Drosophila melanogaster: one gene and its partners. The protein of the gene in region 1 interacts with the protein of each later gene in a pairwise test. Each region holds a gene or a part of one and is shown in the gene's direction. Other genes may lie near its edges.

What was found.
Region 2: the proteins of CG15422 (region 1) and CG17600 interact in a two-hybrid assay, tested with the Drosophila melanogaster proteins (one large-scale study listed by BioGRID).
Region 3: the proteins of CG15422 (region 1) and CG8086 interact in a two-hybrid assay, tested with the Drosophila melanogaster proteins (one large-scale study listed by BioGRID).
Region 4: the proteins of CG15422 (region 1) and Rbp4 interact in a two-hybrid assay, tested with the Drosophila melanogaster proteins (one large-scale study listed by BioGRID).

What each region holds. Positions count from the first base shown.
Region 1 is NT_033779.5:4,001,127-4,008,063, forward strand, and holds CG15422 (uncharacterized protein), read left to right. Parts: upstream 1-3,857; 5' UTR 3,858-3,929; coding exon 3,930-4,244; 3' UTR 4,245-4,544; downstream 4,545-6,937. Other genes in the region: CG34176 (uncharacterized protein), read left to right, coding at 3,005-3,256; CG15423 (uncharacterized protein), read left to right, coding at 4,987-5,310; CG43773 (uncharacterized protein), read left to right, coding at 6,577-6,804.
Region 2 is NC_004354.4:22,511,331-22,519,909, forward strand, and holds the start of CG17600 (uncharacterized protein), read left to right. Parts: upstream 1-3,866; 5' UTR 3,867-3,958; exon of another isoform or gene 3,959-4,039; 5' UTR 4,040-4,263; intron 4,264-8,579.
Region 3 is NT_033779.5:8,247,929-8,256,627, reverse strand, and holds the start of CG8086 (uncharacterized protein), read left to right. Parts: upstream 1-3,661; 5' UTR 3,662-3,776; coding exon 3,777-3,785; intron 3,786-3,852; coding exon 3,853-4,033; intron 4,034-4,094; coding exon 4,095-4,400; intron 4,401-5,302; coding exon 5,303-5,404; intron 5,405-5,660; coding exon 5,661-5,765; intron 5,766-5,946; coding exon 5,947-6,045; intron 6,046-6,127; coding exon 6,128-6,226; intron 6,227-6,297; coding exon 6,298-6,396; intron 6,397-6,499; coding exon 6,500-8,699.
Region 4 is NT_033777.3:13,651,498-13,659,463, reverse strand, and holds Rbp4 (RNA-binding protein 4), read left to right. Parts: upstream 1-3,069; 5' UTR 3,070-3,159; coding exon 3,160-3,201; intron 3,202-3,262; coding exon 3,263-3,519; intron 3,520-3,583; coding exon 3,584-3,867; intron 3,868-3,979; coding exon 3,980-4,675; intron 4,676-4,762; coding exon 4,763-4,770; 3' UTR 4,771-4,908; downstream 4,909-7,966. Other genes in the region: Hrb87F (heterogeneous nuclear ribonucleoprotein at 87F), read left to right, coding at 1-827, 900-997; rin (rasputin), read right to left, coding at 7,898-7,966.

The sequences.
Region 1 (6,937 bases):
GAAATGTTTACCCAATTTTTGGATGTGCCAGTAAATGGAAAAGTGAAAAATCGTTTATGAATTTCGTGGGCTTTTGTTTTGATTGCGACAATACGTGAGAAGCAATTATACGGCGGCACATGAAAGTGAGATCCGGAAATTGGCTTGAGTTTATGTACATGTATACGCATAAGAAGACCTTGGTTTTCCTGGAGTTCTGGGCGTGCAAACCGCAGGCATTAAAGGGACAACTTTGTGCTCCCTTCAACTTTTGCCTCATTTTTGTTTCTTTCGCTGGTTAATTTTTGCGCCTCGCGAAAAGAAACAAATTTTCATGCAAATGGAAATGGAAAATGCAAATTAACAAGTTCCTTAATGGCCTTGTGGGCGTAAGGGGGAGTGGCGGTTGCTGGTGTACACCTATGGCTGTAAAACTGTGAGCTGATTTCAATTAAAAGTTGAGAGGAACGCAAGCGTCAGTGCTTCTAAAACTATTGTGCATAAGAAACCGTTTTAATTTACAATATAGAGTTCAAAAATGTAAAAATATGTAAATTCTTTTTTTAATAATATTTTTAAAAATATTTAAATTATTGAATATGCTAAGCACATTGCCTAATTGTAAAAATATTCGACAACATTTTCGTAGTTACGCTGCAAGATTTCAAGAGTTTAGCAAAACTGTCAAGTCATCCCTCACCTCTGGCAGCATTTTGCCTTTCCGTCTTCAGTTTTACAACTCTATCAATCATCAACTTGCAGCGAGTGCCTGAAAACGGTAGCTCAATAAAATGTTCTTGAAAATGTTCGAAAAACATCTCAGCCCAACCCCGAAAACACTTTTCAGATACGAGTATTGCCATGACATGTCGACAAAAGCAATGATTCCTTTTGGGTAACCCATTTCTGCACCAACCGATTTTCCAACTTTCCCGATTTTCTTGCCAACTCTTGCTGCGTTACGCGATTTCCCAGCCACACTTGCATGTCATGACATGAGCAGGAAATGCGTTTTCTGACGCCGCTGCTAAAGAAGCCTCGTAAAGGTGGTATGCACTGAAGAAAAATGCATACAATCAATTTTTTCATAAATCCTTTATACACATTTCAACGTACATGTTGTTATTCTGTATAAAACCGATATTTTTTTTTTCAAAATTTTAAATCCCTTTAAAAATAATAATTACAATAATTTGGACTTTTGTGCGAAGCTGAATTTTGCAAATACTTTCATTTGATTTCTCTCAGTAAACGGGTTGCGAAATTTCGGATAGCTGCTTTTCCTGGTTTCTTGGTTAGGCTTACGGTTACGGTTTTTTGGCTATGCCGTGTGCCTGGTTCCGTTTCTTGTGCACCAAGCGGAGCGCCATAAATATTTAAATTGTGCGACGCCGCCGCCACCGCTTAAAACCACCAGAACCACCATCCCCCCAACCACATCCCCATCCATTTGCAACACCCCTTTTGCCACGCCCCCTTATGCGCCTGTCTTGCATGTTGCTTGCCGGCTTATTTTTTGACAGTTATCGATTCGAGGGCGCTGCCTCAGTTTCAGCTGCAGATTCAGATCCAGATTCAACTCCCGATTCCAAGCCCCAATTTTCTGATTTTGATTCTTCACTCGGGGACAGAGACATTTTATCTTGCCAGGACTCAATTCATTTCCTAAAATATGCACAAGGAGTTAAAAAATACATGTGGAAAAAGCGGAGGCTTCAAAGATGACGCACTTAATACACTTTTTCGAGTAAATTCGCTTGAGAAATTTTCTTTTTCTTCAGAGGTCTTGAAAATTTACATTATTTTTTATCCCCAAAGTGAATTGGCTACGTTTAAACTATCGTTTTTGCTATGGACAGTGATTTCATTACAGCCAGTTGGGATTTCCTTTTAATGGCTATAATAACTAAAGTGAGTGACTGTCATGCGGCCTGCCACGCCCCACCAACGCAGCGCGCCCACAAAAGCTCAGTCGATATGTTGCGCGTTATGCGGCACTCATTTCCTTCCTTCTTTTGCGTCAGTTGAAAACTTTGCCCGAAACTCGTTTGCCACTTTGTGCATGTTTAACTTTTTAGGGCAAGCACCCTTAACCCTTAAGCCGTAACCCTTAACCCCAGTTCCTTGATCGAAGTGACAATTCAAAGAGCGAATGAAATGCGAAATGCAGCACGAACCACTCAATTAAGTACAGCCAAAAAGGCTGCCGCTCTCCTGGTTGTCAAATCGAATATTCCGAATTTTATTTGATCAAGTGATTGAGATTCAGAGAGTCCCGAGAGACTTTTCTTGATTGACCGTCAGAAATTACCATGTTTTTCTATCCATACATTTAATATTTACCCACGTCGCCCCTCGAGGCAAAATCGTGTCTGCAAACTTTGCATAATAGACGTGCAAATGTTTGCCAAATATTTGCCGGCTAAGGAAAATGTGTAAAGAATTATTGGGAATTTTTCGGGGCTGAAAATTGGATAAATATTTGTGGCTTGACAACATTTTCTCAAGCTAAAGTTTGTTTTCACTAGAGTTAAGGAATTTAATCGCATTTAACCAAATACAAATATTTGCACGTTGGTTCATTTCCTTTCTTCGTGACAACGAAATACTTTATTTCTTTTTAAAACTTTAAACAAGTATTTACATGACTATATGTAAGTTAAGGAGAAATCCCCGGAAAAAACCAAACATGACTCATTAAAGAAACGAGGAAAATCTATTGATATGCAGGCTCAAATTTGAATTGAAAAGCTTATTCGAAAAAAGCTTTACCATTTGCCAATTTTCAGTTTATTTATCGATAACTTTGCTCTAGAAGCAATACTTTCGTCAATAGAAATAATTAAGAGTACCTACCTACCTATTCGCTATCAGCAAATGCTGATATTGAGCTTTTTTATGACGGCAAATATTTTGGCGTTTGTTTGGTTAGTCAGTCCCATGAGTTGGGCATTCGCTTAATTCAGTTACCAGCGATAAGTCGACACATTTGGACGGACTTTCTACAGAAGATTAGTGCACCACTATGCCACCACCACCCCACGATCATTGCGGCGGACCGCCTCATCGTCGTGGACCCGTGATTAAGGTACAGATTGCACCACCATGGCCACGCCGCCATCACCGCCCACCACCCCAAGTTGTGGTGGTGCAGCAGCAGGCTCCGCCACCGCCACCAGTCATGGTGGTGCAACAGGCGCCTCCGCCACCGTACTACCAAAATCCACCACCACCACCACCGCCCGGCAGCAGCCACTACCACAATCCACAGTATTGAGAAGGAACTTTGATCTGTAAAATCCTTCACAATGAATTTATACCACGTAGCCTTACTTAACAACTATATGTCCTCAATAAAGTATAACCTTATAAACTAAGTTTTAGTTTATAGTTTTTAGTTTTTTTGCATATTTGTCATGAGTAATGGTTGAGTTTCAATCGAGTTGATTCCATCACACACACTCCCTCTTTTTATTATCAAAATCTCTAATCCGTGTTTTTTTTTTTTAAGTCTTTATCGGAACACCTGGTTAATTTAGACGGCAATCACTTGTTGTTTTGTTAATGTCTAGCAAAACTTTAATTCATTTTCACCAATGCTCTGTCAATGCTTCTATGCTCCTATATCAGAAATAATAACGCGTTACCCATAGATAAGCCGGAATCAGTTAATATAGTAAACAAAATGCGAGTAAAATAGCGAAACCCGATCACCTGTAAATGCACAACTGTCCGGTCGCTGTTATCAGACCTTGTCGAATGACTAAGCCATCTTATCTTTGCCTCTAACCACTGGAATAATTCCCACAAACCCTGATTGATGGAGCTTCGCAGTTCCAGTTTGTTTCGAGCTAGACGTGTTGTGCCACGGACTTTCCAGTATTCAACGCGTTGCTGGGTGGTGAAGTTGGTTCGGTTGGCTGGTTGATTATTTGGCTAGTTAATCAACTATGCGGTACTATGAAGATCCATGTGGCTATCCTCCTCGCCATCACCATGGTCGTCCAAATATCGAAATTGATGTGGTTCCCGGTTGGGGTGGCGGCTACTATCCGCCGCCGCCTCCGCCTCGGCCCGCCGAGGTAGTCTACATGACCCCGGCGGCTACCTATGTGCCCGGCACACAGGTGATAATGCCGCAACCCTACGGCGGCGTCACGGTGGCCACCACCAATGGATACTATCCGCAGCAGCAGCAGCAGGCGTACGAGTATCAGTACCAGTATCAGCAGCCCTACAACAATCCACCGTATCCGCAGTGGTGAACGAGGTCGGAATGGAAACGAAGCCATCACCACTAACAAAAAAAAAATATACTATCGATGGAGTGAAGGAAGGGATAGATAACAAGAAATCAAAACAAATATCACTTTGTCCTAATCTTAAGTTGAAATGACAACGCAAATGGTGCAATGGTCTTGACATTACGCACCACAAAGTTAACAAGTTAATAACCAGAGGAAGGTACAAAAAAACAAAACTGGAATTTAACTTTAACCGTTTCAAAGAAAATATAATTGTGCTATATAACCTTAAAACGAAATAAATAAAATATCTTGCTCTTCAAAAAACCTACCCGTCTTTAATTCTAAAAATATTCTAAATACTGCATTATCGATTTTATTTATGTTTATGTAATTTAGTGTGAGTCATCAATCAGAAGCATGGAATTAAGTCCTTCCTCTTAAATATAAAATTGTGATTCATGGAAACCTTGAACTCTCCTCATGAAATTCAATTCGGAATTTCGTATTTATCAAATGGCACTTATCAATTTTATTTTTTTTTTATCGAAAAAAACACATTTATTCCACCTGACAAGATAACCAACTAAGCTACTGTGCAAAACGCACATAACAAAATTAGGAAAAAAAATTCCCCCTCATTAGCGATAAAAATTGACTTAAATAGTTAAGCAGGCGAAGAAGCAAGTTCAGTTCGAGAAAGCAGTCAAAGGCATTCACTTCACCCACTAAGGATACAATACTTGGATAGTTTCTGAAGAAAATGCCGTACTACGAGGAGGAACGTCGTCATCACCATCATCACCATCACGGTGGAAGGCCAATTGTAGAGGTGGACATTGTGCCGCCAAGGATTCCTCGACCAGTGATTGAGATCGGAGTGGGCGGCCGGTATCCACCACCACCGCCCAGGGTGGAGGTCATCACACCAGCTGCCGTCTACCAGCCGCCACCACCACGACCCATTATCGAGGTGGATGTGGTGCCACCAAGAGCTCCCTTCATCGAGTTCAACATCGGCGGTCGGCGTCCACCTCCCAGGGAAGAGGTCATCATCGTTCAGCAGCCCCCACCGCCCAGGTGGTAGGCGTGGTCTCCATATGACCGTCGTTCAACAACGAAGTAAAAAACTTTAAAAATATTTATTAAACTTCATGTATTTCTGCAAATAGAAACTATAAACTAACTTTTTACAAAACCTAAGCTCTTGTATAATAAAAATAAAAAATAAATAAACAGTTCACTCCTTCATGTTTGAATTTCGTGTTTATACTACTATATACTATAGTATACTATATATTACGCACATATTTCTTCATGTAAGCTGACATTTTAATTTGCCTCAATCTTATTGCCAATGCAATTGTAAATCCGCTCGAAATATTTGCTTAAATAACTTAAATGCACTTTACCTTAATTGAAATATACTTGATTGGTTTTCAATGTCGGTTCTTGCTGTGACACATTTTCATATTGCGAATATATATGCCTGCATTTATTTGCAATGTTAATGGTACAAATATGAAAATTGAACTGCAGGCGAACGACATAAACAATGGTCATGGTCATGATTCCTTTTCCACTCTCTATTTTCCGTACGGGTAATTGCTTTCGTGGATTTTTTGTGGTTTTTGTATATATTATTTGGCTTCGGTTTTGCTATCTGACTGGTGGGAAATGATTGATGTCCTCTGGTCGTAGCCAGCTTATCAATTATTGTACAACTAGTGCTGTCAGTACATAAACATATTTTAAGCTTTATTATAACGAAAACTGGGCAATAGTTTTCTCAATTTAAATGGCGTAATAAATATAAAAGATCTTGCTGGACTCAAAGTAAAATTTGAATTATGATTTTATATGAAAAGTTATACCATTCTTGCCGTATTTAAATAAGAATTGCATATCCAACTATGGCTTAAAATGTATATGTATACAAATGAAAAATATTTTTCATGATAAGAGTTCGGGAATTGATATCTAAAAAAGAATTAATTACTCATGAAGAGAAGAGTCAAGATAATTATTTTTGGATTCTTAAACTATCGAGAATAGCAAGTAAAAATGTATCCTAAAAAACCACTTAAGAAGAGGTCTATGATGAGTCACTCTAGAATGAAAAGTTCAACATCCCTAGAACATATGAGTCACAGAAAATCGAGGGATTGAGAGATTGAATCACAACTGCTGCAGCAGAATTACGAGTTTGATCCATCACTGTTGTGATAAGCGAGTCCTCAATTTTTCTTATCGCATTCAAACTGGCTGTATAAAAAGGTTATAAGTTAAAGTTAAAAGCCAAATTGAAGTGCAGTCGAGCAGAGACAACTTAGAGCCAAGACAAGACAGAGCCATGTCCGACATCAATATCAACCTCAAGTGCGCCGAGTGCAACCATCCTCGAGGAGTCCTGTACTATGCAAATCCCCTGGCTTGGGGCCGTCCTTGTCGCCAGTGCCGCAGGATGATGTCCCGAAATGTTGTGGTTGTTCCCACTCAGGTTGCAGTTCCAGTTGCTACCAACAACAACATCACCACCACTACTACATTTGTACCAGTCGCTGCTGTGTCCACCCAATAAATGGAAAAATATGCTCTTCAAAATATAATAAAACTTTTGAGAAATCGAAACAGTATTTTCCTTTGTTTTACATTTGAAAAATAGTATTATAACATTCTTTAAGCTGTGGATTTACTGAATGATTTTTTGATCA
Region 2 (8,579 bases), on another chromosome or scaffold:
ATATATGTACATACTTTCTGTGGTCGGAAATGTTTCTTTCTCAACTTGTCAACGTATCTATTGTAGTATAAAAATATTATATTGCTTTTCTATTAAGTAAGCATTATTTCAAGCCTCATAGATATACATATGTACATATGTAGTATTAGTGAAAAATACAAAATAGTTAGTTAGTTACTTATCTAACGAATGCATTTGCCAAACAAATGTCAAAATCGGCGTAGCCCACTAACATTCCGCAACTATGTTGCTTGGTGTGTTAATTTTGAATTTTTTTTTCGATTTTTTTGACTCCATTTACCTTATGGAAACGAGCGGCGGGCAGCCCCCCAAATATTTGCATAATAGAAAATGTTTAAGCTCGTTTGGTGGCTCACTTCTCGGCTGCTGGCAGAATCGACAAGATCTCAGATCGGCGGGGAAAGAGTCAACCGGTGTTAGACATGTTGTTCACTTTCTTTTTCACTTCACCTCGGACCCAATAAGAAATGCTTTTTCTCCTGTCTGTCTGTCTTTCTCGCTTTGAAATGCGAAGAGTTGGTACAGCAGATTGAAAGACACTTTGATCAACTCAAAATTCAGTGTTTAGGGAGCTTCAACCATCCTCTTGACCACTTGTTTGATTTGTCTTTCGAAGGGGTCTCATTAATCATGTGTCCAATGAGCCGGAGCTTTGCATTGTTTGATCCCACCTGAAGCTAATTACGCACCATAGCATTTGTTGGTCGAAGGGCAGGGCGGAGGAAGCGGCTAAAAAATGGATATTTCAAATCGCGCATACGCCCCGCCTGCCAAGTGAAAGATACTGAGATGTGAACGAGAGGAAAAAAGTCGTCAACAGGCGACGTTTTCGAAATTATTCAACTCTCTCTCTCTTCGCTTGCCCCTTAAACATCATTTTGAAAGAATTCCAAAACCCAATGGAGAGTGAAAGCAGCCGGCAAAATGTGCGAGTTTCGTTTGGTCTGGTCTTTCGCCGGAGCCCCCAAATAAAAAATCCGAACAGCTCCCAAAGATCATTGACTGTTGCTGTATCTGTGTAATTTTCATATCTCTGAACTTTCGTATCCGTGTGATTTTGTCACCTGTGTGTGTGTGTGTGTGATTGCGCTGTGCCAGTTTGTGTACCACACTTGCTGCGTGTTTTCATTTTTGGGCTTGGCCCGATCGGCAATCAAAGTAGTGAACTCGTTTTTTAGTCGCCCTAGACTTATTGAATGTCTGGTTAATGGCTAAGGGGAATTCATCGGATACGTGTGTGCGTGCATATGGTGTACATTTAACACACATTTGCGATTTGTTAGTGACTGCTAGTTTGTGTTGTTTAAACTAATATTCTTATGAGACCGAATATAATATTTTAGTTGAAATGGTAGAAATCTGGTGCAGCCCAATTTCCAAGAATTATTATTTTGTCTACAAATATTCATAAATTTCCTTTTACATATCAACTGCATTCTTGCACAACTCTATTCTCAGCCGTGCCGTGCCAGCCGGTTAGTTCATCGACATATTTGGACAGACAAAAAATGTACAATATGTACATATACTATAAGCTCCTTCTTAATCAGCCGATATGCGATATCGTATTCATGGATATCTTTTCTGCTTATCATGGAGTTCATTTCGCAATGTGATCAGCGATTTATGAGCACGCCGCCAAATGGAAAAGAAAACGGAAGACTAAAGACACAATCGTGTCGCAGCAGCGGCTGCAACTGCAGCAAGCAGCTGCAGGTTGCAACTTACATAAAGCAAGTGCCAGAAGTAACAAAAGTCAAAATGAAGAAAAAGCGGAGAAAAGACTACAAACAAGTGGAAAACCAGTCACGAAATTGCCGGCCAGGAGTTTTTGTGCAATTGACTAAGTATCTCTCCATTTTTCGGGCTTGAGTTTCTGTTGTCTCATGTGTTTTTATTTTACCACTTGCGTAAAGTAAATGTTATACCCGTATACTTGTAGAGTAAAATGGTATGCTAGATTCGTTGAATATATATTGTTCTATATGTATATATATTCTTGATCAGGATCAATGGCCGAGTCGATCTGGCCCTTTTCGTCTGTCCGTTCGTATGTAAGTCGAGATCTTAGCAACTATAAAAGCTTAAAGAGGTTAAGATTAGGCATACAGATTCTAGGAACATAGACGCAGCGCCAACAAACCACGCCCATTCTAACGCCCACAAGCTACCTACTTTGAAAATTGTTGTGCTATTTTTTCATATTGTTATGTCTTGTAAATTCCTATCGATTTGCCAAAAACTTTTTGCCACGCCCACTCCAACGCCCACACTTGTGAGAATGTTTTGATCGTTTATCTATTTTGCACTCCATCTCGTAGTCCTCCAAGCTGATCAACGGGTATCTGGTAGTCGAGGAACTTCTCTCGATGTTGCTACTATTCTGGGTCACTACAAATCAGCTCCTGGGCATCTTCTTTCGCTATTTCAATGATGTGACATGTTTTTGCTGTTTTCGCTTTCATATAACGCGGATTGAAAGCTCTTTTTAAAGCACTTTACTTAAGAGCAGACGCGGTGCTTGCGTTGCGCGCCAAAAAGTAATCAAAATGTTTAAGTCCAAACTCAAATGGTAGCCGCTTCTTTTTTCGGGTTATTTTATATGGCCTATAATTTCGGAATATATTTTTTGTAGCCTTTTGTTTATGGATCTGCTGCCTTTCTTGTGGGCTGCTGCCGCCGTTAAGCATTCGCATTGCATCGGTTACACGCCTTTCCAGTTTACAAAACGTACTCTCTGCCATTTTTTCTTTGCCATCCCAGAAACACGAATGCAGTTATATAACAGCAATAGGCTAAAATATCCATGAAAAGCCCGAGCCGAAAAAAGATTCTCCAGTCACGTCTTTCTCGGCAATGAACAAAACGCATTTTTTCAATCCAACCCAAGGCAACAGCATTGAAAAAACTTGCTAATGAATAATGGAGAGTAATGGGAAACTACTTTTTATTCAACTGAGATTGGTATATAAAATTTATAAAGGTGCATAATATAATTGGTAAAAATAAATAAGTTAACTATACTTATGTTATACTCAATATTCTTTATTTTATACTCAATTTTTCTTTATCACATCTCAATGTCTTAGATGTAATGAAATACGTACATACATATGTACTATATTCACAATGATGAAATAAACAGAACTATATACGTATGTAGATTTCTTGGCGGGCTAACTATGTATTTTCCCCACGTTCTCGTTATTTCTTTAATCATTTTCTTCCCCGATTTTCCACCTGATTTTTCGCCCTGAAATCACTCTCAATTTTGTTCGCCTGTCGCAGCATTCCGGCGTGACGTCAGCAAATTGTTCCTTTTGTCTGCAGCTGCAGGTGAAGAGCAGATTGAAATTGAAATTGATTATAATTTAACGGCGGTCACCAGGTTGAATATGCTGGCAGAAAGTTCAATATTCGAAAGTTCGTTGTTGTTGCTGCGCCTGCGCACACTCATTACCGTTTGTTGTTGATTGTCGGCACTTCTTTAAGCGCAGATTTACGCTAACAGGTTGTAAAACTGTCCGAACAGTGATGCCCCGGTGGTATTTTTTGAGTTTTCCAGCCAAATCGGGCTATGCAAGAAATTCAACTCTAATGTTACGCGGAGGTCTTCGGTGGAAGGTGCATACGGTACGTACAAATATACATACACACATATGTACATACATACATATGTACAACAAGTGTAGCTACTTCTTTTGGGGCCTCCATCACCGACATCGACTGCAACAACAGTATGGTGGCATACCAAAAGTTAAAGGCTCCGCTTTGCCAGCTTTTCGGCCAGCGACGTCGACTGAGAAATGCGGCGGTTGAAAGCGCGCGAAGCGATCAACTTGGTTTCAGTTAGAAACGAACGCGCCGCCGAGAAACTCGCAAGCGCATGCTCGCTGTCTTGCGCTCTCCTTCTGCTTTCGTCTGTCTTCGAGTAACGGTACCGTGTGTGAATCGCCAATTAACCGATCGCTTTATTGCCTACTTCGATATTTTATCGCCGCATGTATTTTTTTTGCAGTTGTGTGTTGAAGTGAAATGGAATTTGTTGAATTTTAATTGCACGCAGCACGCTGCCGGCGAAAACAACAGCAAAATTAGCGGGCTGATTTCATTCAACCTGAGATAAAGCAACAATAATAGCGCACAACACATCGCAAAGGCGCAGCAGGAGAAAATAGCTGATAAATAGACAATAATAAATAAATATTACACACAAAGGCCAGGGACGCCGCTTTAATTAGAGTAAGTTTGCACAGATAAACTAAAAATAAAAGACTGACGAATGCTTGAAAAACAGAAAACCGTTTTAAAAACATACGCAGACAACTTGGCACAGAAAGAGTCTCTAGAGCACTTGAGAAATCACACAAAATCAACTAATTGCCCAGAGTAACTTATTCAGATAAACATGTTCTCTGAAATCTACAGATGGTTTAAGTGGAAGATGTCTAATTTGTGTTAACAATAACAACAGTTGTTTGAAATGCTAATCTTCGTCAAAGTTATTTTGACAAATTGCGTAACTTACGTAAGGGTGATAAGCAAGGCTTACGTAAGCTTTCAGTTCTGCAGTTCTACAGTAATTCTAGGAATTTAAATGTTGCCTTTGAATACATATCTGCTAAGCGCAACCTTTTCTACATTTTCGAGATGTTTTCGCATTCTAATGGCTCTAAAACGAATAGCTGACCAGCGTACATTAAGTGCTTCGAAGTCTCGAGGCAAAGTCATTAAAAGAAAGACCTAACAAGCTTCCGTCCTAAGGTTGTCAAATTGTTGCCCCTGTACCCAGCAATCCAGCAAAAACGCCTCATAAATACTTTATATTCCGCGGAATAAATCCTCTTAGCAATTGTTTCATTCGGGCTGACCAGCAAGCAAAAAAAAAATAATAAAAATAAAATTAATATGTATAAAAGAGCGAAGGCAGTTGACAAGACTTTATCAAGGAAACTGCACTCGTTTTAAAAAATTTGTCGTGGATTGCAGCCCAAATTCGATGGGAACTGAATTTGTACTTGAGTCTCAATCAAAAGTTAGTCTGTATTGTTTTTATTTTATTTCAAATCAATGATGAGTCGGAAATATAAATTTTAAAAATAATTTTTTTTATTTTTTTTTTTTATATAAAATATAAATTTTTTTATGGGGGCAATAACGTAATTTCTTTCCAAAAATTATACCTGTTACTCGTAGAGTAAGACGGTATACTATTGTAGATTTGTTGAAAAGTATGTAACAGGTACGTAACAGGTATGTAACAGGTAGAATGAAGCGTTTCCGACCATATAAATTATATATATTCTTGATCAGGATCAATAGCCGAGTCGATTTGGCTTTGTCCGTCTTTCCGTATGAACGTCGAAATCGCAGGAACTACAGGATGCGGCAGCATAATTACCTTTTTTACGAACTCAATGAAAACTTTTGTAGGCATCGAAAGATATTTGTTTATTTTTATAATGTAGGTACATGTCTAAAGTTTTTATTTATTTATTTTTTTTTAAATGAAATCTGATAGGTGACATTCCCCATTCTCCATATATTGCGTAAACCGATTTCTGGCGTTTTGTCGTGACTCTTGTTTGTTAGCATAGCAGGTGTTAAGTTGTCAATTTCTTCTTGGATGTTGGTTTTTAAATCTTGTAGGGTTCTTGGACGGTTCACATAAACACGGGATTTCAAGAAACCCCATAGAAAAAAATCACAAGGGTACAGATCGGCTTCATCACTAAAATATAAACAATAGCATCCTCGGGAATGACATCAAGAAGAATCGTTCATCCGAGAATTGAAGTCACGTTCTGAAAGTTCCTGCACTATCGCCATCTTATACGGATAAAATTGAAGATCATCATGAACAATTCTTCTCACAGAACGCCGTGGCGATCCCAATGTTCTCAGGTGATCTAACGGGTCGAGGGACTCCAGTTCTGCGTCTCGTCGCACTTGCACTTTGCCTGAATGTAGTGACCCATGTGACAATTGATTTGCGGTCTGGGACGTTAGCCAACGGGGCTAAATTAAAGCTATTCCGAAATGCACGCTGTGTTTTAATAACCGAACATCCACTTGAAAAGTAGACCTCAACGGCAAAGGCACGCTCCTCACTATTCCAACGCATATCTGCCGATATATCCCAGAAAAATTATGAAATTTTGCATTCGCATTTCCACTAGCTGATTGATGAGAATTTCAATAATTGCATTATCAATCGACTGTAATGCCAGTGATCGTATCGTATCTTCGAACCCGATTGAGCAGCGGTAGGTTTCGATAAAGGGTCTTGAAACTCGCATTTGCAAATACGTTACACGCTGCATAATGGCTTGATACATTTATGGACACTCATATGGAGTTGTACTCTTAGTTTCATAATCATAGTCGGGACGGTTACACTCACCACTCCACTCCATTCTCCGCCCTCAGCACGCGTACTTATGCGATAATTGCAGGAAATGCAGCGCACACCACACACCAAATGTTGCATGCAGCGAAAGTTTTTCCTTGAAATGCGCATATTATAAATAATAATAAATGCGAAACGAAACGAAAAAATTGCAAAGAGACCAAAAAAGCCGCGCTGCCCACTGGCTAATTGAAAGTGAAAGGGGGAACCAGACGCACAGTGCACAGGCAGAAAATGTGTAGAGCGTCTTATATGTATGTCAACTACTGATTATTGAACTGGGACATCCTAACTTTTTATTTAGCAAAAACAAAAAGATATTATGAGTTCGTGCTCTGAAATTATTATAGAGTTATCGTTATTAGAGTTATTACTATAATATGATATACAATATATTGTTGTACTTTTCATAAAGCTAAATAGCAGTTCAAAATTTTTGCACTATTTCTTTGAAACCTCCAACCTTGGAAAATCGACAGTTCCATCTAATGATATGCCCGGCCCACCACTTCATTTCCTCGCGATCGGGCAAGTGTTTGGTTTCGTTTCGATTCATTTTGATTGCCGCCGCGATATGTATGTCTGGTGTTTTGTGGCCCCTTTTTTGAATTTCATAAGCTCGGCCATAAATTGGCCTGTTATCCAGTTAACCAGTTGGCCTGTTGGCCATCCGCTATTAGCCGCGTGCGTTGCACTCGTTTTCGAGTGTTCGTGGCAAGTGCGTAAGTCACTTTGCAGCCAGCAGCCACTTTCCGCAGACACGCCGCTTGATCTCTTTCCGTTCGTGCAATTATTTTCGTATGAAGTCATTTCAAATGTTAATTCCAGCGGCGGCAAACGGCGACGACCTTGCCGCCTTAATTGTCCGCAGATTGGGGAGCGGAGACCGTAGATCATGGGGGCTGTGTCCCCGGGGGGATCGGGTTGTGAGACTGTGAATGCGAATTCGATTGCGTGCAACGTTTGTTTTTTAAACCAGATTAGGCAGGCACGTCGCGAGCTAACCAAATGCGATATATGCAATACATTGCGCTACGCCTTGCCAAGTTGCACCCAAAGTCGGAGTCTTATATTATTTCCACATTTTTCATGAAGGTATTTATTAATTCAACTATTGAAAACCTTAAATATATAAAAGAGAACACTTCAAGAAATAATTAACATACAACATCGCCAAATCCTCAATATGGTATCAAACATCAAACCAAAATCATCCTAACAGCTACATTTTTTTAAGTGTAAAAAAATGTCGATCTCACGAAGAGACCAAATAAAAACAAGAGAGAATGCTATAGTCGAATGACTATAGAATGCTATATAGTTCCCCGACTATCAGATACCCCTTACTCGGTTAGTGTTAATGCGAATTTCATCATTTGCGAAATTTCATCATTTTTCTGGTCGGAAACGCTTCCTTCTGCCTGTTGCATACTTTAGAACGAATCTAGTATTTACGAATTGTATTAATTCAAAAATCGGCCAGTAAATCCAATTTATTTTTTAAATCGTGGAATCATGCAGGCGATTATCAACAATGGTCAATATATCTTCCAATTTAATTCCTATTCTCAATGAAACATTTTTTCAAAAAGAATTCTCGTTTATCGTCAGTGTTATTGATGAGTGTAACTTTCTCTTCGCAATTGTTTAAATTAACATGAATAAAGCCAATGCCTACGTTTATAGTAGGTAAGACTATAGTCGGTAAGACTGATCCATGCAATTAAATAGATATCTTCTTTACTTATGTAACATGACGAGCTTTCATCATTACGCAAATTGGAAATTAATTGTCCACAAAAACTTAATTAAAGCTTAAGGGCAAACATGTGTAAAAGATCCAATCAAACGACCAAAGCCCGAAATCTTAAAACAGTGAAACACCGCTGTTGTCGCTTATGATGTTATATCCAGTTTTCAGAGCGTTTAAGGAAACGCAAACCAATTATGAATACCTTAAAAAATTGTGAATTGCGCGAAGCTGATTCTAGATTAATATTCCTCTCCAATTAGAAGACAAGTTAATGATTTCGAACGGATTATTTTTTATTTAGCTTTAAATCATCTACAAAACAAATATGTACACACACTTCTTTGTCATTGGAAATGAACTCCCCTAACAAATACGCCTAAAAACATCAAACATAAA
Region 3 (8,699 bases), 4.2 Mb from region 1:
AATGGTAAAAGGTTAAATAGAAAAGTAAGCTGCTAAGGGGAAATGCAATAATCGCTAAATAAATATTTATAAAATGACCCAAACGGATATTTATGTATCCAAACATGCAAATTGTGTCAGCAGCAGCCAGTGATCTCAGGCTCTAGAATTTGGAAACGGATGTGTGATGGTCCCCCATTAAATTTAGTAATTATCAACAGCTATTTGAAAACATTGGCCTTGTGCCTTGAGAACCAAGTTTCAGTGAGGGTTTGCCAATTTTTCCCGCCTCATTTCCCAGCTTTCTCTTGGTTTTCAAAGCCAAAACACGTTCGCGCTGCAGAGCACCGAGAATGTTGAGAAACTTAATTAGATTTGGACGATCGCAAACTAGTTCACACAGCTGACGTCAGTCGGTCTTGGCGTTTTTATCACAATCACGAGAGTTCAGTTTTGCTTCTTGGCTCTCATGTTTTCATTTACCAGCTCTTTTCGGCCTTTTTGGCCTTTTGCCGGCTGGCTCACTCACTTGTTGTCGTTTTCTGTTTTTGGAAAGGAATTGCTCAACTTGTTCGGCGTTAATTAAACTTTTACAAAAAAAAAGAGGCAATAGTTAATAGAGACAGCACACGAATTATGGCTATTTGGCTGTATGTCTATATATCGCGGAGTCATGGAGTTTCTGCGTGGGTCGATCTGCCGTCTGGAAACCCAATTCCGAACTGGCTTTTTCGGACAACTCAATGTGGGCTAAAGGAAACGTCGGCCGCCGTATTTGGGCGTAAAAGCCCCCAAGTTGGCCGCCTGGAAATTGTCTAAATTTTGGGAATGAGCTCATATTTAATTCGCAGTTTTGGAGAGCGTGAAATGAAGTCGAAAGAACATAAAAACGTTTTCACTGAGTTGAGATGATTGTTGATCATGTCAGAGATACAGATACCTCACAATTAGTAAATAAGGGGGGTATATCGATACATGGTCCATCGATGATTAAAAATGATTATGTGATTAAAAACTGTTGAAATATTTATACAATTTGAAACATTATTTCCATGTTAAGGAATCTATATTAGGCATTCTTTCACTTATTTCGAACCTATGCTATTATATTCAATCAAAACAGATTAGTAAACACAACTTCACTTACAGGGTATTTCAGTTTTATGGCTGAGGCTACCTACAGCTTTTATTTATATTTTTAGAGTGAAAATCACAAATTAAAGCTGACGCGTTGTTTTCGTCACGGGTGCAGAGTCATCGGGTCAACTGTGAGAATATCAATTTAAATCAAACAGAAACACATCATCATAAACAAATCACCGAAGGTCACAGAGATAATGCTAAAATATTTGCTGAAACTCTCTGTAACTAATAATGAATGCCAGTTTTTGTTATTCACAAAATGCAAGCAAATATTTATAGCGAGAAAGAGAGATCGAAAGTCGAGTGTGTGGGGGCGATTTTAATAAACTATATAGTTTAGCCGGTTTATACACTGACCCCCGTGCATAGATTATCGAGCATCACCATCTATAATTTGATTACTGAAATCTGATCGCCACATGCAAATTGATTGCATGAGCCAACGCTCTATTAACGTGATTAAATGCGACCTCCTGAACGGGCGAACCAAACATTATTCAATTGAAGTTGCACTCGGAAAAATAGCACACACTATTTGGTGGTGGCAATAACTTGGCTGATAAATTAAAGTCATATATAAGGCATACATGATTTTGTATTTTGAACCCCTTTTTTAATGGTTTATAGAAAAAAGCGTGACAATCAAATGCAATATCTTATGTTTTGAAATTTTCTGTTCTACTATATGCTTCCAAAATCTTGACAGTTATGCTTTTATGTATAAGATGACTATTATTCAATCACAATTTTCTTTCACAATTAAGCTTAATATATTTTTAGATTTTTAATTGATCTCTTTTCGATGCCATATGTGCATATTAAGACAGATTTCCTTCAATGCGAGCAATGTGGGTGGGTGGCCAAGACTCTTTGTCTGACAGATGTCTGAGTTTGTTGGCTCAGCTGCCGGCTCTGATTCATCGTTAGATTTTCAGTTTTCTTCGCTGATCTTGGCCTCGAACAGCAATTGAACAGGCGGTACGGTGTGTGGGCTTTCCAACCTCATGATGGTGATGTAAGAGTCGCCTTATAAGACCGCCTGATGACTGCCTGCCTTGCGAAGAGAACATTGTTTTTTGTACATAAATACATACATATGTATATGTGAATTGCATGCGAGGTCAGGAGTCATATGTAGCAAGTAACAAGTGCGGCTGGCGGGAAAAGTGAAGCCTTTCTTGGCAGCAGAACGACGGCTTTATTGGCCCTGTTAACAGCCAGGCCACGCCCCCTAACATTGTTTGTAATTATTTACACAGGCTGGCGAATTTTCACGGCCAAAAGAAGTGGCACGCTTCGCATTTCTTTTGGGTCCTGGGTTTGTTTTTGTTTTGGTTCATGCAATTGTCGGCCATAAGTCATTAAAAGTAATCGTTTTGTTGGCTTACATGCCCCACAAAATGGGCAGCATTAGCACTTAGCATACTCCCCTTCGTTTCGTTTCGTTTCGCTTCGATTCGGGACACAACCTTGTTGACCAGACCCCAAATCTCGGCGCCCGTCGAATTCGTATCCGTATCCAAATCCAGCCCCATATCGATTACATGCCCAAATGCCTGGTTCCTGGCGCTAAAAAGGTGGAAAGGTGGAAAGTTGGTAAGGTGGAGCGTGGTTGGAACTCCTGATACCAGCTGGTACCGGTCTGTTTTCCGATGTCTGCCCGCCTGTCGATGGGCAACACTTGGTGTCCCGTGTGCTGAGCTGTGAAAAGAAGGTCGTCACCCAGGGCAGCAGCAGGTTTTGGGGAATACGAATGTTGTTGAGGGGGGCCTCTCATTAAAATATTCATTTTGTCTAGCTCCTAACTAGCTGGAAACACTTTTATTGTGCACTTCTTTTGTTACGACTTAGTGGTAATCATATGTATAATAAAATTGTCTACCGTGGTAACTGCATTAAAATTCATTTGGTTTTCTCTTCGTATTTTATTGTTCCCTTTTTATAGGGAAATTCAATTTAAAGGGTGAAGCTCAATATATGCTAGATATATTTAGGCACCTTTACAAACTTCGATTACATATATAAATTATTGCTCTCTATTCAAAATCAAATACAACTGAAAGGCAAAGACATAATAAGACTGTAATTTAAGTTTCTTAACTTTATTTTGGTTGCACTGCAAACCCCTGCAACTTTTGTGCCTGCCACTGACGCCCAAGAATTACGAGCCTACCGCAAAGTTATTGCCATTGTTTGTATTTCGTGCGGCGCAACAAATTCGCGGCTCGAACAGAAGGAACCTGCAACAAATGCCGAGCAACAGCCACTGCAGAAGAAGGAGAAGAAAAAGAGTGACAGCCGCCACACGACACGCCCCCATCCACTGAATCCATTCGCCCATGGATGGTATGAATATGTGGAGCTACACGCCTGGTTATTAGCCGCCCCATCGGAATTGGCCCAGAAAGTTCGAAACAAATGCCAGACGATTGATTTTTGTGTCATCGACTTGGCTGTTGGAGTAGGACGAAATTTGGATTATTAGGTTACCCAAGTTTGGGGGTCGAAGTATAGATTTCAGTAGTCAGCCTATCACCCACTCACACGTGTAAATGTCAGCGAAGGGAGTTCAGTAAATTTGGTCTTTAACTTTTTTTTTTTACATTGGGGCACAATTTTCAGACTTCGATACTACTAAGCCTAAAAACAGCAAGATGAACAAGGTGGTTTCTTGAAGATCTAAATAACTAATGGATTTCTTAATATTGTTGTTTGTTTTCCCCTTTTTAGGTCGAGTTCAAAAACAAGAACAAGGATCAGGGACCCTGCGCCCGCGTGCGTAAGATTCGTCCAATTAACATGGGCGGCAACGTGGAGCAGCGTCCTTGGACTCCAACTGTTAGGATCGGCAAGATCGCCGCCGAGACCACCAATCCGGGTCCAGCCACTGTCCAACTTCCAACCTTGATAGGTAAGCTTAAGATTGGTTTAATGTTCCTGCAAATATAACTTATTGAAAATCCCACATTTAGGCAGCAAAGTTCCCGACTCCAAGAAGAAGGCCGCACCCTCGTACTCCTTTGGCCACAAGTTGGGCGGAAAGTATGACACCTCCGGACCGGGTCCGGCGCAGTACAATGTTACGGGTATGCGAGCCAAGGGTCGGGATTATCCTCGAGCAGCCACTCTGCAGAGCAGACCCAAGGAACTAACACGCTTCTCGAATCCCGGACCTGGGGAATACGATGTGGTGCCGGCGGCCAAGGCGGTGATCGATGCCACGCCCAAATACACTTTTGGCCAACGGCCGGTCGCGTTGAAAACCTTCCAGATACCAGGTGAGTCTCGGTCTTCTTCCACTGGTGTTTGAATGGTGTTTTTGGACCTGATGTTGGATTTTGGAGTTGGATCTGAAAATTGACTTTGAATTTGGCGTTGAATTCGGTGTTTGTTGCGGGCTGGTGCTGTTTTTTTTTTTTTTTTTGGTTGCATGCGCGGACTGAGGAGATCATCAATCAATTTCAATCATGGATCATCATTGTACATAGAAGCGTACTCATTAACTAATCCGAATCCATGCCAGTTGCATCCTTACTGCAAGCAGCGCGTAAGTTGCTACCGCCCCTTTCTTCCACTTTCTCCCACTTTCTATCTCTATCTCAGTAGCTAGTGTAGTCGTAGCCACATTTCGTAGATTATTCTGCTGTATCTTTGGGTATCCTTGAGATTGAATCGTAGTTATGTCACCTCGTAATGTGCGTGAATGATTTGGCTTATTCTATTCTATTATTTTTGGTACATTAATTAAAAAGTATTTAATTATAATGTTGGGCATTATTATTATTTATTCGATTTGTTCATATCTCGTTCTCTAAACTTTCTTTGTTTCCCTAAAAAAAAGCTACAAATTTACGTAGGAGGAATTGGCAATGTCTTTATACGGTCATCTATTTTGTGAAAGATTGTCTACAACTTGGCTCAGTTATTTTTATTTATGAGTCAAACGGAAACGGAGATCAGATGTCTTAATTTCTCATAAATATTTCTATTTAAGATTATACATATTCTCTAATTCTCATTTATTATTTCCTAGCTACACAGTGTTCTTTGTATATGTGTTACTTTAGTGGTTCAGTAATTTGTGTGACCTCTTTTTTTTTGTTATGTTGCCTGATTTGATTTTAATTTGAAACGTTTTTCTCTTTCAATGAATGATTGCCGTGGCAAAATCGAGACTCAGGTCCCAACTATTATCAAGTGGTGCCACTTGATGTCGTCAAGCGGCGAGCCCCACGCTACTCCTTTCGCATTAAGGTTAACGTGTATTTGGTTAACAATCCAGGTAACCCAACTAACTGTCCAAACTTCGTCCACGTTGCGTTTTAGTGTTGGTGTTGGTCTAGCTCCGCTCTCTAACTTCTAACCCGATCAATTAATCCCCAACTCATCACTAATTCCCGAAATAATGTATCTTTCTATCCGTATATACATATCTATCTATTTGTAATTCACCCACACTTAGTCGTAGCTCACCTAGTGTAGACCTTTAGTTTTGATTCGAGTAGACTAAAAATCGAATGTTTTATTAACACTAACAGCTCCGAATAGCTATTGCCCTGAAAAGGTCACGCAATCAAAAAAGAATGCGCCACGCTACACTTTCGGTAGACGAACTAAAATCGAACACGATCAGGGCACACCAGGTAATAAATCCCAGCCTCCCCCCCAAGTAACTGTATCTGCATCTGTAATTGTATCCGTATCTACCCCAATCGAGGCACCACTTGCTCAAGCGTACCCAATTGGACAGTATCTATAGCGCTTTCCTTTTCTATTCCCGTGACTTTTGGCCAACTTAATACTGATATCCCATCCCATCCGCAGCTCCTGGCGCATATTGTCCAGAGAAGGTGAAGCTCAACAAGACGCCAGAGTTCAGTTTCGGCATCAAGCACCATGAACAGCGACCAGATTACACTCCAGGTTTGTAAACAGTATGCCTTGTAGGTTTGAGCCACGTTAATATAGCTGCTTGATGCTTTCACCACGACGACACTTTCATTAGCGCCAGGCACCTACAAGCCCGAGCAGGTTGTCCTCGAACACATTCCCGCCTACAGCTTTGGCTTGAAGACCAAACACATCCAGGTCAGCGATACTCCAGGTAAGGCTTCCCGCTCAGCTGGGCTGTAGTAACTTGGCTTATAGCGCACACTTTTATGTCCTTATGACCAGCACCCGGTGCCTACAGCCCCGAAAAGTCAAGGTTGCACTCCGCACCCGCTTACTCAATCGCCGGAAAGGCTTCGCAGGACGTGGTCGATTGCACACCTGGTGAGTTCTAGAATCGCATTTCAATGGATCTTAGTCTTAGCGTGCGACCCGCACACCAAAACCCAACTCTTTTTACACCTTATCTTCACCCAATCTCTTGCAGCACCCGGAGCATACGAACCCGAGAAGTGCGTCCTGAGCAGGACGCCTGCCTTCAGCTTTGGCCACCGTGCCGAGCTGGCCAAGTCGAGTGACACGCCAGCGCCGGGCACCTACAATCCGGAGAAGGTGCGGCTGGACCACACGCCCGCATTCACCCTGTCCGGACGCCCAGAGACGAGGTCCGTGAGCGAGACTCCGGCGCCCGGTTCGTATGCCCCGGAAAAGTATCGCAACGATCGAACGCCGGCCTTCACCTTCGGCGGTAAGCACGAGCAGCGACTCGAGAGCTCCACTCCGGCACCGGGCGACTACTGTCCCGAAAAAGTGCGGCACGATCACAATCCCGCTTTCTCATTCGCCGGTCGCCACGATCTGCACAAGCCAAGCGACACACCAGCACCGGGAGCCTACGACACCGAGAAAGTCCGGCAAGATCACAATCCGGCCTTCTCCTTTGCCGGGCGCCACGATCTGCACAAACCCAGTGAAACACCCGCTCCGGGCGCCTACTCCCCGGAGAAGGTGCGACAAGATCACAATCCTGCCTTCTCGATGGCCGGGAAACACAGTCAAAAGGTGACCAGCGATAGCCCGGCTCCTGGGGACTATTGTCCCGAGAAGGTCCGCTTGGATCACACTCCCGCCTACAGTTTTGGCGTTAAGAGTGATCCTAAAGTAGAGAATAACACTCCGGCCCCGGGTGATTATCATCCCGAAAAAGTTAGGCAGGATCACAATCCCGCATATTCGTTTGCCGGTCGTCACGACCTTCAGAAACCAGACAACACTCCCGCTCCTGGAGCCTACTTCCCGGAGAAAGTGAGACTGGACCACAATCCAGCTTTCTCAATGGCCGGCAAGTATGATGCCAAGGTTACCAACGATACACCTGCTCCTGGTGATTATAGCCCCGAGAAAGTTAGGCAAGATACTAATCCAGCGTACTCCTTTGCTGGCCGCCATGATCTCCACAAGCCAAGCGAGACTCCCGCTCCAGGTGCTTACTCGCCGGAGAAAGTGAGATTAGATCACAATCCAGCTTTCACGATGGCTGGCAAGCACGATCAGAAGATTTTAAATGGCACTCCGGCACCAGGAGACTATAGTCCCGAAAAGTGCAGATTAGACCACACACCTGCTTACAGTTTTGGGGGAAAGAATGATCCTAAAGTAGAGAATAACACTCCGGCACCAGGAGATTACCATCCGGAGAAGGTGAGGTTGGACCACAATCCAGCGTACTCCTTTGCCGGTCGTCACGACCTTCAAAAGCCAAGTGATACTCCTGCTCCAGGAGCCTACTCTCCCGAGAAGGTACGTCAAGATCATAACCCAGCATTTTCAATGGCAGGCAAGCCAGTTGAAAAGCTAACTAATGGTACTCCCGCTCCCGGAGACTACAGCCCGGAGAAAGTACGCTTAAATCATACTCCAGCCTACACTTTCGGTGGCAAAAACGATCCGAAAGTAGAGAACAATACTCCCGCTCCTGGGGATTATCATCCCGAAAAGGTCAGGCAAGATCATAATCCAGCTTTCTCCTTTGCTGGTCGTCATGATCTTCACAAACCGAATGATACTCCCGCCCCTGGTGCCTATTGTCCGGAAAAGGTCCGTCAGGATCATAATCCTGCCTTCTCAATGGCGGGTAAGTACACCCAAAAGGTAGCCAACGACACTCCAGCTCCGGGCGATTACAGTCCGGAAAAGGTGCGTCTAGATCACACACCTGCCTATACTTTTGGGGGAAAGAACGATCCCAAAGTTGAGAGCAACACCCCAGCTCCAGGTGATTATCATCCCGAGAAAGTTAGGCAAGATCATAACCCAGCATTCTCTTTCGCTGGCCGTCATAATCTTCAAAAACCTAGCGACACTCCAGCACCTGGAGCCTATTCTCCTGAAAAAGTCAGACAGGATCATAATCCTGCCTTCACAATGGCCGGAAAGCATGACCCTAAGGTTTCCAATGATACTCCTGCCCCTGGCGACTACAGTCCCGAAAAGGTCCGTCTAGATTACACACCATCCTTTACCTTTGCTGGTAAAAACAATCCTAAAGTAGAAAACGATACCCCAGCTCCAGGTGACTATCATCCCGAGAAAGTTAGACAAGATCACAATCCCGCCTTCTCCTTCGCCGGTCGTCACGATCTTCATAAGCCCAGCGACACTCCTGCTCCAGGAGCATACTCACCGGA
Region 4 (7,966 bases), on another chromosome or scaffold:
CGACAATGCGCAGAATGCCAGGCCACACAAGATCGATGGACGCACCGTGGAGCCCAAGAGGGCTGTGCCACGCCAGGAGATCGATTCCCCGAATGCGGGAGCCACGGTAAAGAAGCTCTTTGTGGGCGGGCTTCGAGACGATCACGATGAAGAGTGCCTGCGCGAGTACTTCAAGGACTTTGGCCAGATCGTGAGCGTGAACATTGTTTCCGACAAGGACACCGGCAAGAAGCGCGGCTTCGCCTTCATTGAGTTCGATGACTACGATCCCGTTGACAAAATCATCCTTCAGAAGACCCACTCCATCAAGAACAAGACCCTGGACGTGAAGAAGGCTATTGCCAAGCAGGATATGGATCGACAGGGCGGAGGTGGCGGACGCGGAGGTCCTCGAGCTGGCGGTCGCGGTGGTCAGGGTGACCGCGGCCAGGGAGGCGGTGGCTGGGGAGGCCAGAACAGACAGAACGGTGGGGGCAACTGGGGCGGAGCTGGCGGCGGCGGAGGATTCGGCAACAGCGGCGGTAACTTTGGAGGCGGTCAGGGCGGCGGCTCTGGCGGTTGGAATCAGCAAGGCGGAAGCGGAGGTGGTCCATGGAATAACCAGGGTGGCGGCAACGGCGGCTGGAACGGTGGTGGTGGCGGCGGCTACGGCGGCGGAAACAGCAATGGCAGCTGGGGCGGTAACGGTGGTGGAGGTGGTGGTGGCGGTGGCTTCGGAAATGAATACCAGCAGAGCTACGGCGGCGGTCCACAGCGCAACAGCAACTTTGGCAACAACCGTCCAGCTCCTTACAGTCAAGGAGGTGGTGGTGGAGGATTCAACAAGGGTATGTTGGGTTATTAAGTGATTTGACCATAATGTACATAATGTACTTAAACCATGCATTTATTTTTTACAGGTAACCAGGGTGGAGGTCAAGGCTTTGCTGGCAACAACTACAACACCGGAGGTGGTGGCCAGGGTGGAAATATGGGAGGCGGCAATAGACGTTACTAGACAAGGTAAATATAGATAACCTGGACGACAGGTCCTATCCCATCGTACAATCTCAAACGCTCGGATCTTTGGTCGTTATTGGCAGCTAGTTGGTAGCCTAGCCATGCAATCAAACTCATTTCGGAACGATTCGAAGCTAATGCAAAATTTTCTCCTCTTTCGCAACTAGGTAAACACACATAGAGAGAGAGAGTGTGTCAGTTCAAGCTAGACGACAAACAGGCAGTCTAGGCAGGCAGATGCAGAGGGACAAGCACATTCACAGGCAGGCAATCAGTAGCATGTGTGTGTCAGACCAGGCAGACAAGATCAGAACCAAGAAATCAAGATGCAGAACCAAGAACCAGGCCGTGCGCAAATGCAAACGATAAATCAATCAATCAGGTTTGGGTCCGGCCGCAACCTGCAGGCTATAGCCATAATCCACTTGTCAAAAGCACCAAGCAAATGATTATGCGTCAAGCAAAACAGCCAAAAGCGAAACGAAACGAAATCCAATCGACGCCACTTGTCCACAGTTTGAATGCTGCTATCTCTCTTTTGTAACCATTAATAATTCGCTGATCGATTTATGTTTAGGGTCCTAAGAACCCCGAACGCTTAGTTTTAACCATAAACAAACAAAAGAAACAAACACAACAAAATATAAATTAAACAATAATTTTATTGTACAAAATTGACTACCAACTGAGCGGCGACGGATTCTCCTTGAGATTCAGTCGTTGTAAGGGTGTTATAAGGTAGAGCACTTTCTTTATATTTATTCATGATTTTATTGTTTTTAGCGATCCAGCGAAATGTAAGAAATCAAATAGTACCATATTTTGTAATCACTTTTTTTGTACAACTAAGAACCTTTATGATTTGTGGCAAGTAAGATCCCAACTCCTGAAATGCGAATGCCACGCACATTTGTGTACAGGCTGCACAGTGGCCGAGAAATGGTGTCCTAGCGAGCAAAATCCATATATGCATACCAACTCTGTTAGTCCCTAAGAAGTAGATGCTACGTTAAGCCAGACTAAAAAGAAAAACGCTAAACAAATATCACAAACATTCTGTAATTAGTTCGTTACGAGTGAAACGAAAGCGACAAAGAGATACAAGCAAAATAAAATCCTAACCAATGTTACCTACCCACCCAAAATGAAACGAAACGAAATAATCACAGGAGCAATGCCCTAGCAAAGAGGAGCAGCAACTGCAGCAAAATCCGGGTTTTCCGATCCATCCCAGATCGGCAGGGTAGCGGGCAGGGCTAATTACCGTCACTAGAGACCCCCACCACCTAACCCCCGGGCAAACCGCCGCATACTAATGCACTGACTATTTCTTTGCAAGACTGGCCGGGCTACGGACGGAAGCTCCCTCCCGGGTCCGTATACGAAATCTGGGCTGCTCCACGCACCGGTTCGTTTCCACCAGGTATTAGTTAATGGTTTTAGACCGCAAAGCAAGCGGTGGCCCAGGAAGAACTCACTGGTGGACTTTGGTTGGTGGCTCCCTTCTGGCTAACTTGGTGGGTACAGCGGAGGTAAGTGAAGGTAACTAGTCGGTATTCTACTAACACCTCATTTGTTTCTGAATTTTTCAATAAAGTACAACTTTTACTAGCAAGAACAAGAGCTGTATTTTATTTTCTGGGGGCGATATTTTATAGGGTTACGTATAAGGGTTTAGGCCCTATCGATTTATTGGCCTATTTGTATCCAATAATGCTGAATCATCTAAAAGTGACAAGAACTTTCACTACCAAGAACAATTTGTTCTATGAATACCATAAATGTTCAGTGGATTATAGCCGGTTTTCGAAGGACCTAGCTTTCTGGATTGTATTACGAACTAAATTCTTATGAGATCAATGGGGTTTTTCTTCTAATAATGCATAAGTAGGGTTTTTTGCTAGGACTACGAAGCAAAAGAGGCGATATTATAGGGATTTATAGGGTTACGCTTTAAGGATTCAAACCCTATCGATTTATTGGCCCATTTGCATCCAATAATGCTGAATCATCTAAATGTGGCAACAATATTTTTGGACCTTTTTCGATAGTCCATAACTATAGACGTTTGGATTTTCTTGCCTGTCATTCAATTTGTGGTTGGCTTCACCTGAGTGCTGTAGTAAATCAGGCTATTTTAATTTTGACATCTCTTCGAAAATGGATGCGGGAAATTGTGCCTCGTCGGCCTGCCTTGGAGATGTAAGCTCATAATCCCCCAAACTATTCATAATTATCAACGAAAGTCGTTGTGTGTGTGCAGTGCAAAGGCGACGGAAAGACGGCCATTAAGGAAGAAGGCTACGAGCATTTGCGCAAGATCTTCATTGGCGGCCTATCCACTCAGACGACCGTGGAAACGCTGCGCGGATTCTTTAGTCAGTTCGGTATCGTGGCCGATGCGGTGGTCTTGCGGGATCCGGTGAGCAACCATTCTAGGGGCTTTGGCTTCGTCACCTATGTGGATCCCAAGTCCGTGGAAATTGTCCAAAGGGCACGTCCCCACACCATTGATAATAAGTGAGTAGTTCTCTAATAATCTTTCGCTGCCCTAATTCTATAAAAAGTTGATTAATTAATTTAGAATTGTGGAGACCAAGCACGCACTGCCACGTCAAGATTTCAAAAGGGGTGGCGGCGTTGGTTCCGTTGTCGGAAGTTTTGGCTGTGAAGCCGGTTTCATGAACTCGAAAAGGATCTTTCTGGGCGGCTTGAAGGAATACCACGATGAGAATATCGTACGCGAATACTTTTCGCAGTTTGGCCCTGTGGCCAGCGTGAAATTGCTCATGGACAGGGAGACCGGACGTCAGCGGGCATTTGGCTTCCTCGAGTTCGTGGATCCATCCAGTGCCGAGAAGGCATTGGGTAAGTTTCCATGTTTCTCATTTATTGAAAGTCATCGTGCATTTTTTTCAACTACCTTTAAGTATGATATAGATTAAAATCTGATGATAACGCTGCTTGCTTTGATTTTCAGCACCGCGCAAGCACTGGATTCTTCAGACATTGGTGGAGGTGAAGAGATCCACCCAGAAGGCCGACAGGCGTTTTCGGTTCCCCATATTTAGCTCGGTTCGAGCCGGCTACATTCCGCCCCAGCCGGCCACTGCTGATAGCTACAATTACAACAATCCCAACTACAATCCCTATCTGGCCCAATCCGTCCTGCCGCCATCGGCATTCACTAACGGCTGGGCCCACTATGTAATTCCGATGGCACCCAAGCCAACACCCGGACAGAACATGGCTGCTTCGTTGCCGTCACAGCAGCTGGCAGAGCACTCGCTCAACGGACACGGTCCGGACATGTGGTCCTCCTATCCGAAGACCGGTATCTACTCGGCCCAGGAGTGGACTTCCAGCAAAGTGGCCGAATGGGGACCGAAGGCCGGGCACAAACATGCCCAGACATCGACCAACGATCGTGCCAAAATCGATTTGAAAGAACTCCAGGCAGCTACTTTCAATAACAAGCTGGATTTCGGCGCCCGTGGCGACGCGGATCGCATGTCGGGAGCTGGCTTGGGATTGGGTTTGACTGGCGGTGCCGCCGTGGGAGTTGGAGCTATTAAGAAGTGGCCCACCCAGGACTATAAGGTCTTCAAGCCAGCTAAATCTCCGACCAACGGAGTGATTCCGAAGATCGGCAAAGAGGCTACAACACCACCCTACGGTTCATTTTTTTCCTTAAAATTTAATTTAAATTTAAATTTAATTTAAGAAAGAGAAAAGAATCTAAAGTATCTTTTTATTCTTGCAGGTATCTAAGTGGCGGACGATGGAACGCAGTTAAACCCAATTTACTGCCACAGTTTAATGCTATTACTACAATAATTTGCAGGCGATTCCGTTCAAGATATTTAATAAATAATAAAGCATACGGGTCCTTTTGAGACTTAAAATCGTAAACTCTTGTTCTTTATTTATACTATTTCTGTTGGTTTTTTTTTTATGTTTGTTTCCATTTAAAGTATTGCATGTATTGCATGAGTGAATTGATTTTTCGCAAATGTTTTATATCTGAAACGCTATAAAACGCACCAATGAATTGTGACTGGAATTTTGTGGGCTGGCTTCTTCGACTGGCTTGTTATTAATTAAAATTATGCAAATTGCTATCGATTGCTCGGCTTTGTGCGCATCAATTTCATTTAAATGCTGAATGCTCAGTAGTTCTTCAGTTGTTTCAACACAAAGGCAAATGGGAATTGGATTCAGTCGCTGGATAAGTAAAGTCGCCTTGATAAGTAAAATTACATATCCTTGTGAGTTTTTCCTTTCAGATTTCTAAATCTACGACTTGGTGTTTCTTTTAAACGCATTTACCAGAAAAGGAAATACGAACCGATCCAAAACAAATGTGTGTGTGTGTTTTTTTTTTTTTTTTTGAAATGAAACAAAATCATAAGTTTTCTGGTAAACACGCTGAATCTTTGTGATTGGTTTTTATTATTATAGTTATTTTGTAGTTGTACACATATAAATTAAATTATAATTAAGTGTTTCCCTCCTTTTCTCTGTACTCTTTACAAACTGCAGTATTGTGATTTCATCGGTTTACTTAGAAATGAGCATGAACTCTAATTGTTTGTTTTTCGTTTACTCTTACATCGATTTAGTTAGTACCTCTGATTTGTATTGTATTGTTTGATGCTGTTTTCATGTTTCTTATTTTTTTTTTTGTTTGTTTATTATTTCTATGATGTTGTTGCTGGCCACGGAGCACTTTCAGCACTGATCGTTGAGCTAAGGTTTGAACACTAACACTTTCGTTTTACAAAAAATGCACTAAAATTGCTTTAGACCCTGTTCACAGTGCTAGAAATGCGTGGTGTTATATAGAAATAGTTGTGGAAATTGCGATTGTAATTGATTTAGCAATTGATTCTCTAGGGCAGGCGTCGAACAACAAAAACAAATGATATGTTCCCAACGAATTAAAAGTCCTTAAGCTTTAACAAAACAAGAATAACTTGGGCAATTATATATATTTGGACGCCTGCGACAAAACTCAAATGATGCTCACACGAATTTAATGTTTTCAGTTTCCTAATCGCTTTTCTGCCTTATTTTTATTTTGCAGCAGCAGTTATATAAATATATATATATATATATTTATGTATATTTAGATTTCTGGTAAGTCTAAAAGTTAACATTAAATTATATGAGTTTTTGTTTTGTTTATATATATTTTGTATATATTTGTTGTTACATGTTTTGCTTGTTTTACCTTGAGAAAAATGTTAGTAGCTTGTGTCTCGTCCCCCAACTATTTATTATAATAGGTTCTTGTGTGTTTATATGCTTCACATCTTCTCTACTCATTTCGTTTCATTCTTTTTTTGGGCTTTTCTTGATTTTATTTAAAAAATATGTACTAAATTTTAGTTCACAACTGCGTTGGAAACACCAAATCGTTTAAGTTGCTTGACTTAGTTTGGTTTACGACCTTGAACTTATTACACAGAACGAATAAAAGAAAAGCGAAAACACTGACCGTCCGTCCGTCCGTTTATTCCTGACCATCGATTGCATCGAACACGCACCCACCTGCGGCGCCGGCACCGCATTTGCCCTCATCACACGCTCTCATCTCCACACTCTTCCGATCCAAACCGATTCGAAGCGAACCGAACCGTTTCGAACCGATACGATACCTATATAGACTAGCTAGTCTGCAAATTAGATTTAAGTAGCAAAAGGTTTACAGGCTCTAAAATGCGGCGGACTTTCTTTCTGGGGCGCTAAACGTCGACGTCGATGTGTGTTTGTGTTTTCCTCGCTTTTCCTCCTTGCGGCTTGGTGCTCAATTGATTTTCCTTTCATTTTCAATGTTTTTTTAAAGAGGTTTGTGTTCTTGTGTGCTTGCTTTGCTTATCGTGATCTTATTTTTGCTTGTTTTTAACCGCGCCTTACATTTTTCTCGTGTTTACATTCCATTTTTTTTTTTAGTTTTTAAATTAATTTTTTCAAGTCTTTCTTTTGCTCTTTTTTATTGCATTTTACAAAGGTTTTTCATTTTTTTTTCTGTTTTTTTTTTTCTCTTTTACTTCTCTTTATATCTTTTTAGCTAAGTGTGTAAGTTTTCCCTTTTAATTATTTTTTTGTTTTTAGCTTAAGTAATGGTGTTATTCAATGAAAAAACAAACAAAAATGTGTTGCATTGCTCCTTTCCTTCGTATCAAACCAATTTCTTGCATCTTGCGTACTTAAGATAGATTTTAGTTGAAGGTTAATGCCAAACAAAAGCTGAAACTAAAGTTTACATTTATGCTAAAATGGGTGAGTGTATGTATCTTGTGTTGGCTTTTGTGTGCGATCGTGTGTTTTGCGATGAGTGTTTTGTGGGTGTGCTTGGTTGAGACTTAAATTTAATACACGTGTTTCAAGGTGAAGTTGATTCCGTGAGTGGGTGGTGGGTGGTAGAGAGTAGCAGTTGCCGAGCTGAAGCTTACATTCTTTTAGTTTTTGGATTCACAACGAAGATTTGCACAGAATTTCGGTATATTTTGGCACGAACTGGCTGGAAAAAGCGAGCCTAACGCAATTAAACTAAGAAGGGACTCAGGACCGTTGACGCAACTCTTTACATCCTATCTTTCTTTCCTTCTTTTTTGTTTGTAGTTCGACGCCCCGAGAGTTGCGCTCAGGAACATTTAAAGGACAGTTGACGTTTTATGTTGCTCCAACTACTTTATCTTAGTGTATGAGTGTGTGATTTGCGTGTGTTTAATTGCATGAGATGTTCTTGAATGTAATTGATTGATTGCATTGTGGAAGAAGTCGATGTTTTTAACGTTGGGTTGTTGCTGCTGTTCTTGATGTTATAGTCGCTACTGCTGCCGTTGCTCATTTGTTGATGCTTTTGCTGATGTCGTGCTGCTGGACAATTCCCTTAGCGACGTCCGTAGTTGCCACCACCACTCTGTCCATTTCCGGCACCGCGCAGCGGTCCGTTAGACTG